Rattus norvegicus: one gene and its partner. The protein of the gene in region 1 purifies or fractionates together with the protein of each later gene. This does not show direct contact. Links are inferred from orthologs where the notes say so. Each region holds a gene or a part of one and is shown in the gene's direction. Other genes may lie near its edges.

Region 1 (4,857 bases):
GCTTGTATACTCCCTTCATCTAAACCCTTCCTCCATATCATCTTTGGCCTACAAAATGGGGCCGATGTCTTCTGATTTCCTAAAGAAAACCTGAATGCTCCCCTCATACTGCTGGTCCTTCTCTGGACAGTATCAAACAGTGTCTCCCCAAACATCTCTCTTCCAGCCTACCTAAGGCCCAGCTACTCTAGGTTGCTGTGAAACCTGCTTACATAACCCCCAAGCCATCACCCTTTCTGCAGACAGCACCTCTACCACTAGAAATATATTTCTAATTAAAAACTGAATTTGTGCTGGGTGGTGGTGGCGCACACTTTGAACCCCAGCACTCAGGAAGCAGAGGCAGATCGATCTCTGTAAATTCAAAGTCAGCCTGGTGTACAGAGCAAGTTCCAGGACAGCCACAGCTACTTGGTGAGACCCTATCTTGAAAAAAAAAAAAAAAAAAAGCCAAAAACCAAGATACAAAGAACCCAAATTCGCTTGTAACCCCACCTTCATTACTTATCACAGCTCTCAGAATAAAGTCGTTGCTTTCCTTCAGGCCTCCTTCCTCTAACTGCTGGCAGAGGGGAAGCACATGAAGTCATCTTAAAGAGCAGAGGCTCTGTTCACGCTACCTTCCTAGTTTAGTCCTCCCAGCTCCCAGGGGGCAGGCTTTCCAGCTTGCCAAAACCTGATAGGCTGAACTGTCACAGCCAGTGTGTCCCTTCAGAGGCAAACAATGCAGCCAGCACAAGAGAGATAAAGAAAGGAAGGGAAGAGATCTTAATTTGATGGTGATGATGATGATGATGGTAGTGGTGGTGGTGGTGGTGTGGTGGTGGTGATGGTGATGATGATGATGATGATGATTAATTTATTTTGACAGTCTCGTGTACCTCAAGCCCGTCTCAAACGAAACTTCTAGGTCTCCTATCTTTACCTGCTGGTACTGAAGGTTTTAAAAAACATCTTCACATTCGGACTGTGTGGAATACAATTCTTGTTGGTTGGGAAGTAGCCGAGGTCTAGTTTCCTCGCTTATATACTGGCTCATTAATTTCTAACATACAGGGCAGTCCCACAGGTTGACTACTGGTCTATTTATAGATTTTAAGTTGTCAATTAAATCTATTGATTTTTTTTTCTTTTTTTCAATTTCTGCCTTAGCTGGTTTGGTGGAAATCTCAATGTACTAAGGGGGAGTGTATTCGTTTTAATCTTCTTCTAAACCCTTCCTGGCTTAATTTTCACATCCAATTCTCTAAGTATTAGAGAGAACTGCATTAGAGTCTGATGCACGAGTCTAATACATTGTCATGTAAGCTCCCAGCAGGCAGACATGACGTAGTTCTCACTGGATGGCTTCAGCCTTCCGCGGGGAGGGGACCAGCTGTTTGCTATTTACTATTTATTACTCTCTACCCCCTAGAGTAGAGAGGCTGGGAGGCGCTGGCCCAGCAGGTGATTGGCACAAGCGACCAGGCCCCTCCCTGCTCTATGCCCGCGGATCTCGGTGAATTCCCTAGGGCAGAGCCTGGCCGGCAGCCAGCCGCAGATCCCCACCTTTGGATGAAGCCTGGTACCCCAGGTCCTCCTAGGCACTAGGTAGGCGGCTGCGGCCTCCCGGGTTCCCCGGCTGGTGAGCGCACCTGACCCGGCGGGCGTGGCAACAGGCGGGGCGGCGAGGCTGACGTGGCCCGTGGCGTGGAGCGGGCGTGATTCATCAGCGGCGGCCGAGAGTGATGGGGACGAGTGCCGAGGCCTCCTAGGCGCGTCCCCTGCGCGATCTCGGGGTCGGTGGCCTGGCTCTGGGAAAGCCAATATGGAAGAGATCCTGAGGAAGCTGCAGAGAGATGCGTCCGGGAGCAAATACAAAGCCATCAAAGAGAGCTGTACCTGGGCCCTGGGTAAGTGAGCGGGAGGCGAAGGGGTGCGTGAGGACACCTGCTCCCCGATCTCGGGCTCCTCCCGGCCCCTGGGCAGGAGGGACTGTCACCGAGTGTGGCTTATGGATGTTGCCTCGGAGAATTAATGCGGGGTATGAAAATCTTGGCTCAGCGTGGACATGCAGCTGGCTCCATCTGGTCCCCTTACCACTTCCCAAACCTCTATGGGAACCATTGCCTTTGGAGTGAGGCAACCCCATTCCTGGTCCCTAGAGCCCATAGGCACGGGTTCCCCAAAGCCAAGTTAGGACCTCCAGTTTGTGTGAAATCAGGGCCCTGGTTTCCAGGGGTATGGAAGAAAAAAAGGAAGTTAATTAAAGCAACAGCCCTCTTCTCAAACACTGGTGAGTGGAACCAGGAAGGGAGAGGCTGGTTTAATTTGATTTTGCTGATTGAGGCCACCTTGCTAAATATTCACTTTTACGGCTATTGTGCATGGGAAATAACAGTCTGAAGGAATTGTGTTACTCCTGCAGTTCGGTTACTGACTGGCTCTCAGACAGGTGGGCTTTTAGTGGCGTGAGCTATGCTAAAATTGAGATAAGTTCCTGGTTGCAAATGAGCATTTCCCATCATGTAGGCTGCAGTCCTCAACATCGGAAAATAAACGGGATGACATATCAATTAGGCAAGACCAAGGCACTGAGAATGGGGAGGACTGAACTGCACTAAACAGGCAGCTCTGTGAGACCCTTGCTTTACAAGAGCCTGCATGTTATGCCTCAGTAACCAGTTAATTTAAAAAAAAAAAAAAAAAAAACAACAACAAAACCCTTTTCTTGAAATAAAAACCAATTGGCACTTGTCATGATTCTTTGCTGTGTGCAACCTGAAAAAAAAAAAAAAAAAAAAGACACAGAAATGCTATCAGTTGCCCGTCCACTAAAGGCAGAATTCTGATAGTGTTTTAGGTCATGCTGTTCTGATGGAAGGTCTTAATACACATGTTTGTGCACACATGTATGTCTGTGTCTCCCTGTGTAGACAATTGTAGCAGCACCATCCTTTGTTTAATCTCTGCATATCCCTAAATTGTCTTCAATTATTGCCCAGGGAGGTTTATCTTGTAGGTAGAAGTAGTACTTGGCCATTTTAGTGGCCGTATTAAATGAAAATGGACTAGCTGTCTGAGAGGCGGCAAGGCTCCTAAAGCTGCAGTAAGGTTTCAGTGGCCATTATCGTTAACTGTTCAGCAATGATTCCTAGCTGGATTCCCAAAAGCCTCTCTAATGGAAGGTCACAGACGGCTGGCTAACATAGTAAAGGAGGCCCTGACTGTGCATGGAATACACCATTCCTGGTATTCCTTATTAGTTTGCTGTGAATGAAACTGATTGAGATAAACACAGAGGTGGTGAGTAACCCAGTGTTGTTTGTTTTTTAATAAGTTGGACCTTTGCTATTCAACATCTTGCGTGTTAAACAGCAGGTGTTGAATTTAGGCCCCGGAAGGTACTAGGGAAGCCCAGATCTGAGGCCAGGTAGGTTTTCTGGGTCAAGTTCAGAATTCACCTTGACCGTAAGAATAGATGAGGTCGGGGCTGGGGATTTAGCTCAGTGGTAGAGCGCTTACCTAGGAAGCGCAAGGCCCTGGGTTCGGTCCCCAGCTCCGGAAAAAAAGAACCAAAAAAAAAAAAAAAAAAAAAAAGAATAGATGAGGTCCCGTTTACTGCTCAGTGCTTACTCTGTAATTAGCAAGAGAAGAGATAAAGCTGTGACGGTTAAATAACATCGTGGAACATTCCTGGTTACAAGGGAAAAACCACAGCTGGAAAACATGGCAAGGAGGAGCGTCTCCCGGAGGAGGAGGATGGGGTAGATGTTACTCACTGGCTGGTTTTCTGTGTCGACTTGACACAAGCCGGAGTTATCACAGAGAAAGGAGCCTCAGTTGTGGAAATGCCTCCAAGAGACCCAGCTGTAAGGCGTTTTCTCAACCAGTGATCAAGGGCGGAGGGCCCAGCCCATTGTGGGTGGGGCTGTCCCCTGGCTGGTGGTCTTGGGTTCTATAAGAGAGCAAGCTGAGCAAGCCAGGGGAAGCAAGCCAGTAAGCCACACCCCTCCATGGCCTCTGCATCAGCTCCTGACTCCTGGCTTCCTTTGGTGATGAACAGCAATGTGGAAGTGTAAGCTGAATAAAACCCTTTCCTCCCCAACCTGCTTCTTGGTCATGATGTTTGCGCAGGAATAGAAACCCTGACTTAGACAATGGGTAATCTTTAGGTTCTCTTATTTTTCTTCTATTTTTTTGAGCATACATTTCAGACATTCCCTGTAGTGAAGAATTCTTAAACCCGAAGCAGTTTGTTGAAGGGGAGTGGGGAGTGCAGTAGAAACAAAGGCATGGGCGTTTTTTGCTGGTCATCTTCTTCCTCCTACAGCCAAGTCAAGGTTTTTACTAGAACGTAGTTGTTGATGATCAGCCGTTCGTATTTTTAAATAGAGTAACATTTATATTTCTAAGAATGCTTAGAGAATCTAGAGCAGCTCCATTTCGTATGGCCCCACCAAGAGCTCCAGGGCCCGGTGGCAGTCATCTGTGACACTTTATTGATGACACCATGCACAGCAGTTATTTTCTTTGCTTCTGATATTCTTCTGCCTGGAATACCTTTCCAGATCCCTCAAGGCCTCACAGGAAGCCTTCTCTGCCTGTCTCGGTGGAATCATTTACTCCGCTGGCTTAGAGCCCTGCCCTCCAGACTCTCTTAGAGCACTTAGTACTTTAGACTTGGCACATGAATACCTTGAGTTCGGGGAAAAGGCGAGTTAAAGCTGACCCCCACCCCACAGTGTGCTTGCTCCGTCCATGAATTGTTCATTAGAAGAATAATGGGGTTTGGGTTGGTGTGAAATTATACAGTTTATGGGACCTTGACTTGATCTTTGTGAGTTGTCTGATATGTTCTACATAGATTTTGAGACC
Region 2 (4,831 bases), on another chromosome or scaffold:
AATAAAAAATAGAAGGGGAGGGTACAGGAGAGATGGCTCAGTGGTTACACTGACTGCTCTTCCAGAGGTCCTGAGTTCAAATCCCAGCAACCACATGGTGGCTCACAACCATCTGTAATGGGATCTGATGCCCTCTTCTGGTGTGTCTGAAGATAGTTCCAGGGTACTCAGAAATAAGTCTAGGGGAAAAGAGTAGAAGGGGAAAACAGTTTTCTAGTTTAATAAAGTGTACATGAAGAACAAATGGAAATGACTCTCACCTCGGGTTCTCAGGTAACACTCTTAACCACCTTTACAGGACTGTCAATACAGCTCCTGTGTGGTTTGGTATACAACCACCTTACAAAGGGAGAGCAAACATGTTTTCTCACAGTCACTAGGAAAGGCTAAGGACCAAATTTAAATCCAGGTCAGGCCTGGCATGGTGAAACTCACCTATAAATATCCAAGTACTGAGGAGGTTGAAGGTGGAGAGTTCCAAGCCAACCTCGACTGCATTCCAAGACTTACAAAATACAACCATCCAGAGTGTGTGTGGGGTATGTGTGTATTGGGGGAAGGGGTTGGGGGATGACTTCTGGATCTAACCAATGAACAAGTTTAGCTCTGAAAGGTAAGACAAAAGAAAGAAGGAAGGAAGGAGGGGGCAAGAGAGATGGCACAGGGGTTATGACAAAGCCTTCTTGTACAGGACCCAAGTTAGCTTCCTAGCACCCACATGAGGTGGCTCACGGCCACATGGAGACTTGCATGCATAAGAAAGGGTAAAATAAGTATTTAAGGGGGTAAAAAAGCAAAGACGAAGGCTTTTTAAATAATCTGATCAGACACACTTCAAAATAGGTAAATATAAAACAAGCTGGCGGTCGAAAGCCTTTTAACAAAATAAAACATCAAATCCTTAGCAATAAAAGGCTGAGGAAGTCACTGGCCTTTAGAAATGTGGGAAACCTCAATGCTTCCCCCATTTTGCATTTTATATCACAGAGTCCCTGGTAAATTAACTAAAAGCTAAAATGAGAGTCAAGAGCAAAAGAAAACACTGCCAATCCAGGATGTCAACCGCCTGCAAAACTAGGTCATCCTTCAAAAGCAAATTTCACGGCTCCGTTTTTCCATTCATTCTGTGCCCCACAGAATCTGGTTCATCAATGGACTACCTCCGCATTCATGTTCAAAACTACCTTGACTGTCTCCAGACTGGCCCCTTCCAACACCACAATGAGCCTACGGCCTCCACACTTGCTTCCTGCCCCAAGCCGGGGTCTCTTAGGCGGCGCAGGGTCCCAGTCCTGTTCCTGCACTGAAAAACGCCGCTCACGAGGTTGGAAGCCACCACTGGTCGCAGCCATCTTGTAAGCAGACCGGAAGTTGCGCTAAGGTCCTTAAGTTAGAACTTCACGTCCGCCTCACTGCAAACTTCCTTCTAGCTGCCATTTTGAAAGAGGGCGCTTGAAAATGGCGATACCTGTACGGAAGCCTCTCTAAGAGGGCACACCTCCAAAGGGGGCGGGACTTCCGGATGCGCCATTACTGTGCGCGAGGTTTGGGTCCGACTAAGCAAACGGGGGCGGGTTCAGAGAGAACGCACTTCCGGTGCCCTTTCTCCCGCGAGCTCTAAGGCCTCCAATCCTCGTGTGCAAGGCGAGGTGTGTAAACTGGAGTGGGGTAGAAGCTGGCGGGCACCCCCTCCTGACCACTGGTGCCGCCGCCTTCAGGAGAATCAGACATGGCCCAGAACTTAAAGGACCTAGCGGGACGCCTGCCCTCCGGGCCTCGGGGCATGGGCACGGCGCTGAAGCTGCTGCTGGGGGCCGGGGCTGTGGCCTACGGCGTCCGTGAGTCCGTATTCACTGGTGAGCAACCTCCTTCCACTGACCGGACCTCGCGGTCTCCAGACCCACTGTCCTACCTCCCCCAAGTGTCCGCGCCTCCATGCTCCCTCATCCCTGTCCCGCCTGAGCCTGACCAGCAGCTTGTCCTGACTCCCACCCCTCTCTCCACAGTGGAAGGTGGTCACAGAGCCATCTTCTTTAATCGTATTGGTGGCGTACAACAGGACACAATCCTAGCCGAAGGCCTTCACTTCAGGTAATGGCGGGCAGAGCGAGCAGGCCCTGACCCTTCACCCTTGACGGCTGTAGCCAGACTTAACAACAGGATTCGATACTGCTTTTTCCCCTCCTCACTCCTTCTCGTAAGGACAGTGCCAGCATAAAAGGCTGTTCTCGACCTGGAAAAGAGAATCTCCCTGTCTGTGGTCATGGGGAGGAACAGGCCCAAGGACGAGTGGTGAGGGGAAACTGGTCAAAATCAATGAAACTGTAGTTTCCCAACTCCTGTCCCTGACCTCTCCTTTCCAGGATTCCCTGGTTCCAGTACCCCATCATCTATGACATTCGGGCCAGACCTCGAAAAATCTCCTCCCCCACAGGCTCCAAAGGTAATGTGGGCAACTGGGAGCTGCATGGCACGTGGGGAAAGACAGAAATGTAAAATGAGCCTGGCAAGGCTGCCAGAAATGGTAGTGTTTCTTAGGGCTTGTATTCTATGTCTGCAAAAGAGCCATGCCTCACGGTTCAAAACAATACATGTAAGTATGTGTGCACGTTTTAACGTTACCTTCTGCCTAGCATAAACGAAATGAGTTGCCTTTCTTCCTTGCTGCCTGGATCCAAGCCTTTTTTTAAGGCCTTTTTTCTGTTGACTTGTTGATTACATCCACAGTACACCTTGCTCTGGAGAAAGTGCCCCCACTCTTCACTAGCTGTTTCCTTGTAGACCACATTTAGAAGTCCTGCCTTTGAGATTCCCCAGGCCTCTGCCTCATTCCCATGTACACACTGAGGCAAGTAGCCCCCAGAAATGTGCTTCTTTGTGCTGTTTGCAGTGTATGTGGTTTATTCATTGGCCAAGCCACAGGCCTTGGAAATAAACAATAAACAGTTCACAGTTCTGGTTCTCCAGATGATTAGGGGGAAACCCAAAATTGTGCTGCTTGGTGAATCCACTTTGGAGGAGTAGCAAAAAAAAAAAAATTTTTTTAAAGCTGTATTAATGGAAGACCTGTAGAAAAGATTTCTCAGTAAACAAGGATCTGTCTCACCCGTGTTGTCCACATGTTCCTCGTTGACATGATCATCTTCCCAGTGGAGCTAGTCTGTACTGTGTAACATGGTGGGTAGCATGGTGGGTAGCACTCATAGGAAAAGATGCTGGGAAAGGGGGAATTTGGCCTTAACCGGCCACTGCTGACCTCTCCCTCAGACCTGCAGATGGTGAACATCTCCCTGCGTGTACTGTCTCGGCCCAATGCCCAGGAGCTCCCCAGCATGTACCAGCGCCTAGGCCTAGACTATGAGGAGCGAGTGCTGCCGTCCATTGTTAATGAGGTGCTCAAGAGTGTGGTGGCCAAGTTCAACGCCTCGCAGCTCATTACCCAGCGGGCTCAGGTCTGACCCCTGTCTCCTTGGTCAGGGTTACTGGGTACTAAATAAAAGGTGTTCCAGGATGGGGTGGAATGGATCTGTAGTCCAGTCGGTGAGTGCTTGCCTAGCGTGCACAAATCCTGGTTGTATTCCCAAGTGTCAAACCAGGCGTGGCGCATGCCTGTAATCCCAGCACTAGAGGTAGAAGTAGGAGGATCAGAAGTCTCAGGTTCTCCTTGCCTGCATGGCCAGTTGGACTGTGGGAAATAAGGAGACACCGCTGTAGAACCTGATAGCAGTGGACGTTAAGAAGGAAGCACAGGAGAGAACAATAGCTGTATACCCTTTCCCACGTCTCTAAAGGGCTTTCCTCGATTGACAGGGAGCTAAGGAGATGCATACATTGAAAAGAGGAGATTAGGACTCGGTGTGACACGGGACAGTCGTGACACCTGTCTGATGCTGCCCTGACTGTCACATGGAGAAAGGGAACCATGTTTTTCTAGTGAATGTTTAAGGATTTAGGTGATAGGTTTGGTGCCCATACTCAGGAGCTCTGGCGATCAGATAGTTACAGCAATGCCACCTTCCTTTCAGTTCAAACCAAACCTCCCCTCCCAACCCCTGCCCCCAGGTGTCTCTGTTGATCCGAAGAGAGCTGACAGAGCGTGCCAAGGACTTCAGCCTCATCCTGGACGATGTAGCTATCACAGAGCTAAGCTTCAGCCGAGAGTACACAGCTGCTGTAGAAGCCAAACAAGTGGGTAAGTCCATGGAGGCAGGCGAGGTCGGTGGGCTTCTGGAGACCGGAGAAGGGGGACCACATGTATGTGGGCTTCCTACACCTTACAGCTATAACATCAGTTCACTTATGCCACAGCCCAGCAGGAAGCCCAGAGGGCCCAGTTTTTGGTGGAGAAAGCAAAGCAGGAACAACGACAGAAGATTGTGCAGGCTGAGGGGGAGGCGGAGGCTGCTAAGATGATATCCTTCTGTTGCACAGAGCTTGGCCTCTCCCCTGGCACAACCTGTTTGCCATCTTGCACCATGGGCCGGTTGATGAGACTAAGGCGAATGCGACTTGGCCTACTGACTCTTGGCTTGGGGGTGGTGGGAGGACAGGACAACTAGTGAGATCTGGAATCTTGGCAGGGGCGCCAGAGGCCTGACTCCCTGCTGTAAGGCCAGATCAATAGCACTGCTGGCCTCACCTCTGTCAGCTGCCACCACAGCGCTGGCAGCATCCTGTAGGGAGGCCCACAGGAGGAGCCAAAGTGTGAGTAGCCATGTGAGCGCAGACCTCGAATCTGACAGCCCAAAGAGCTCTTGGCGGAGGGTGGGGGAGATTGTCACAGATGTAACCTGGCCCAGAAGAATCCTTAACCCTGTCTGCTCACCTTGGA

Evidence for each region.
Region 2: the proteins of Arfgef3 (region 1) and Phb2 purify together in Homo sapiens (affinity purification with western blotting; 4 studies listed by BioGRID). This does not show direct contact. The link is inferred for Rattus norvegicus from reciprocal best matches to the Homo sapiens genes ARFGEF3 and PHB2.

Annotation. Positions count from the first base shown.
Region 1 is NC_086019.1:15,220,588-15,225,444, reverse strand, and holds the start of Arfgef3 (ARFGEF family member 3), read left to right. Parts: upstream 1-1,702; 5' UTR 1,703-1,807; coding exon 1,808-1,892; intron 1,893-4,857. UniProt on the Homo sapiens protein: Participates in the regulation of systemic glucose homeostasis, where it negatively regulates insulin granule biogenesis in pancreatic islet beta cells. Also regulates glucagon granule production in pancreatic alpha cells.
Region 2 is NC_086022.1:159,202,345-159,207,175, forward strand, and holds the start of Phb2 (prohibitin-2), read left to right. Parts: upstream 1-1,603; 5' UTR 1,604-1,729; coding exon 1,730-1,856; intron 1,857-2,006; coding exon 2,007-2,091; intron 2,092-2,363; coding exon 2,364-2,443; intron 2,444-3,267; coding exon 3,268-3,452; intron 3,453-4,062; coding exon 4,063-4,192; intron 4,193-4,308; coding exon 4,309-4,412; intron 4,413-4,480; exon of another isoform or gene 4,481-4,741; intron 4,742-4,825; coding exon 4,826-4,831. Other genes in the region: Emg1 (ribosomal RNA small subunit methyltransferase NEP1), read right to left, coding at 1,185-1,352.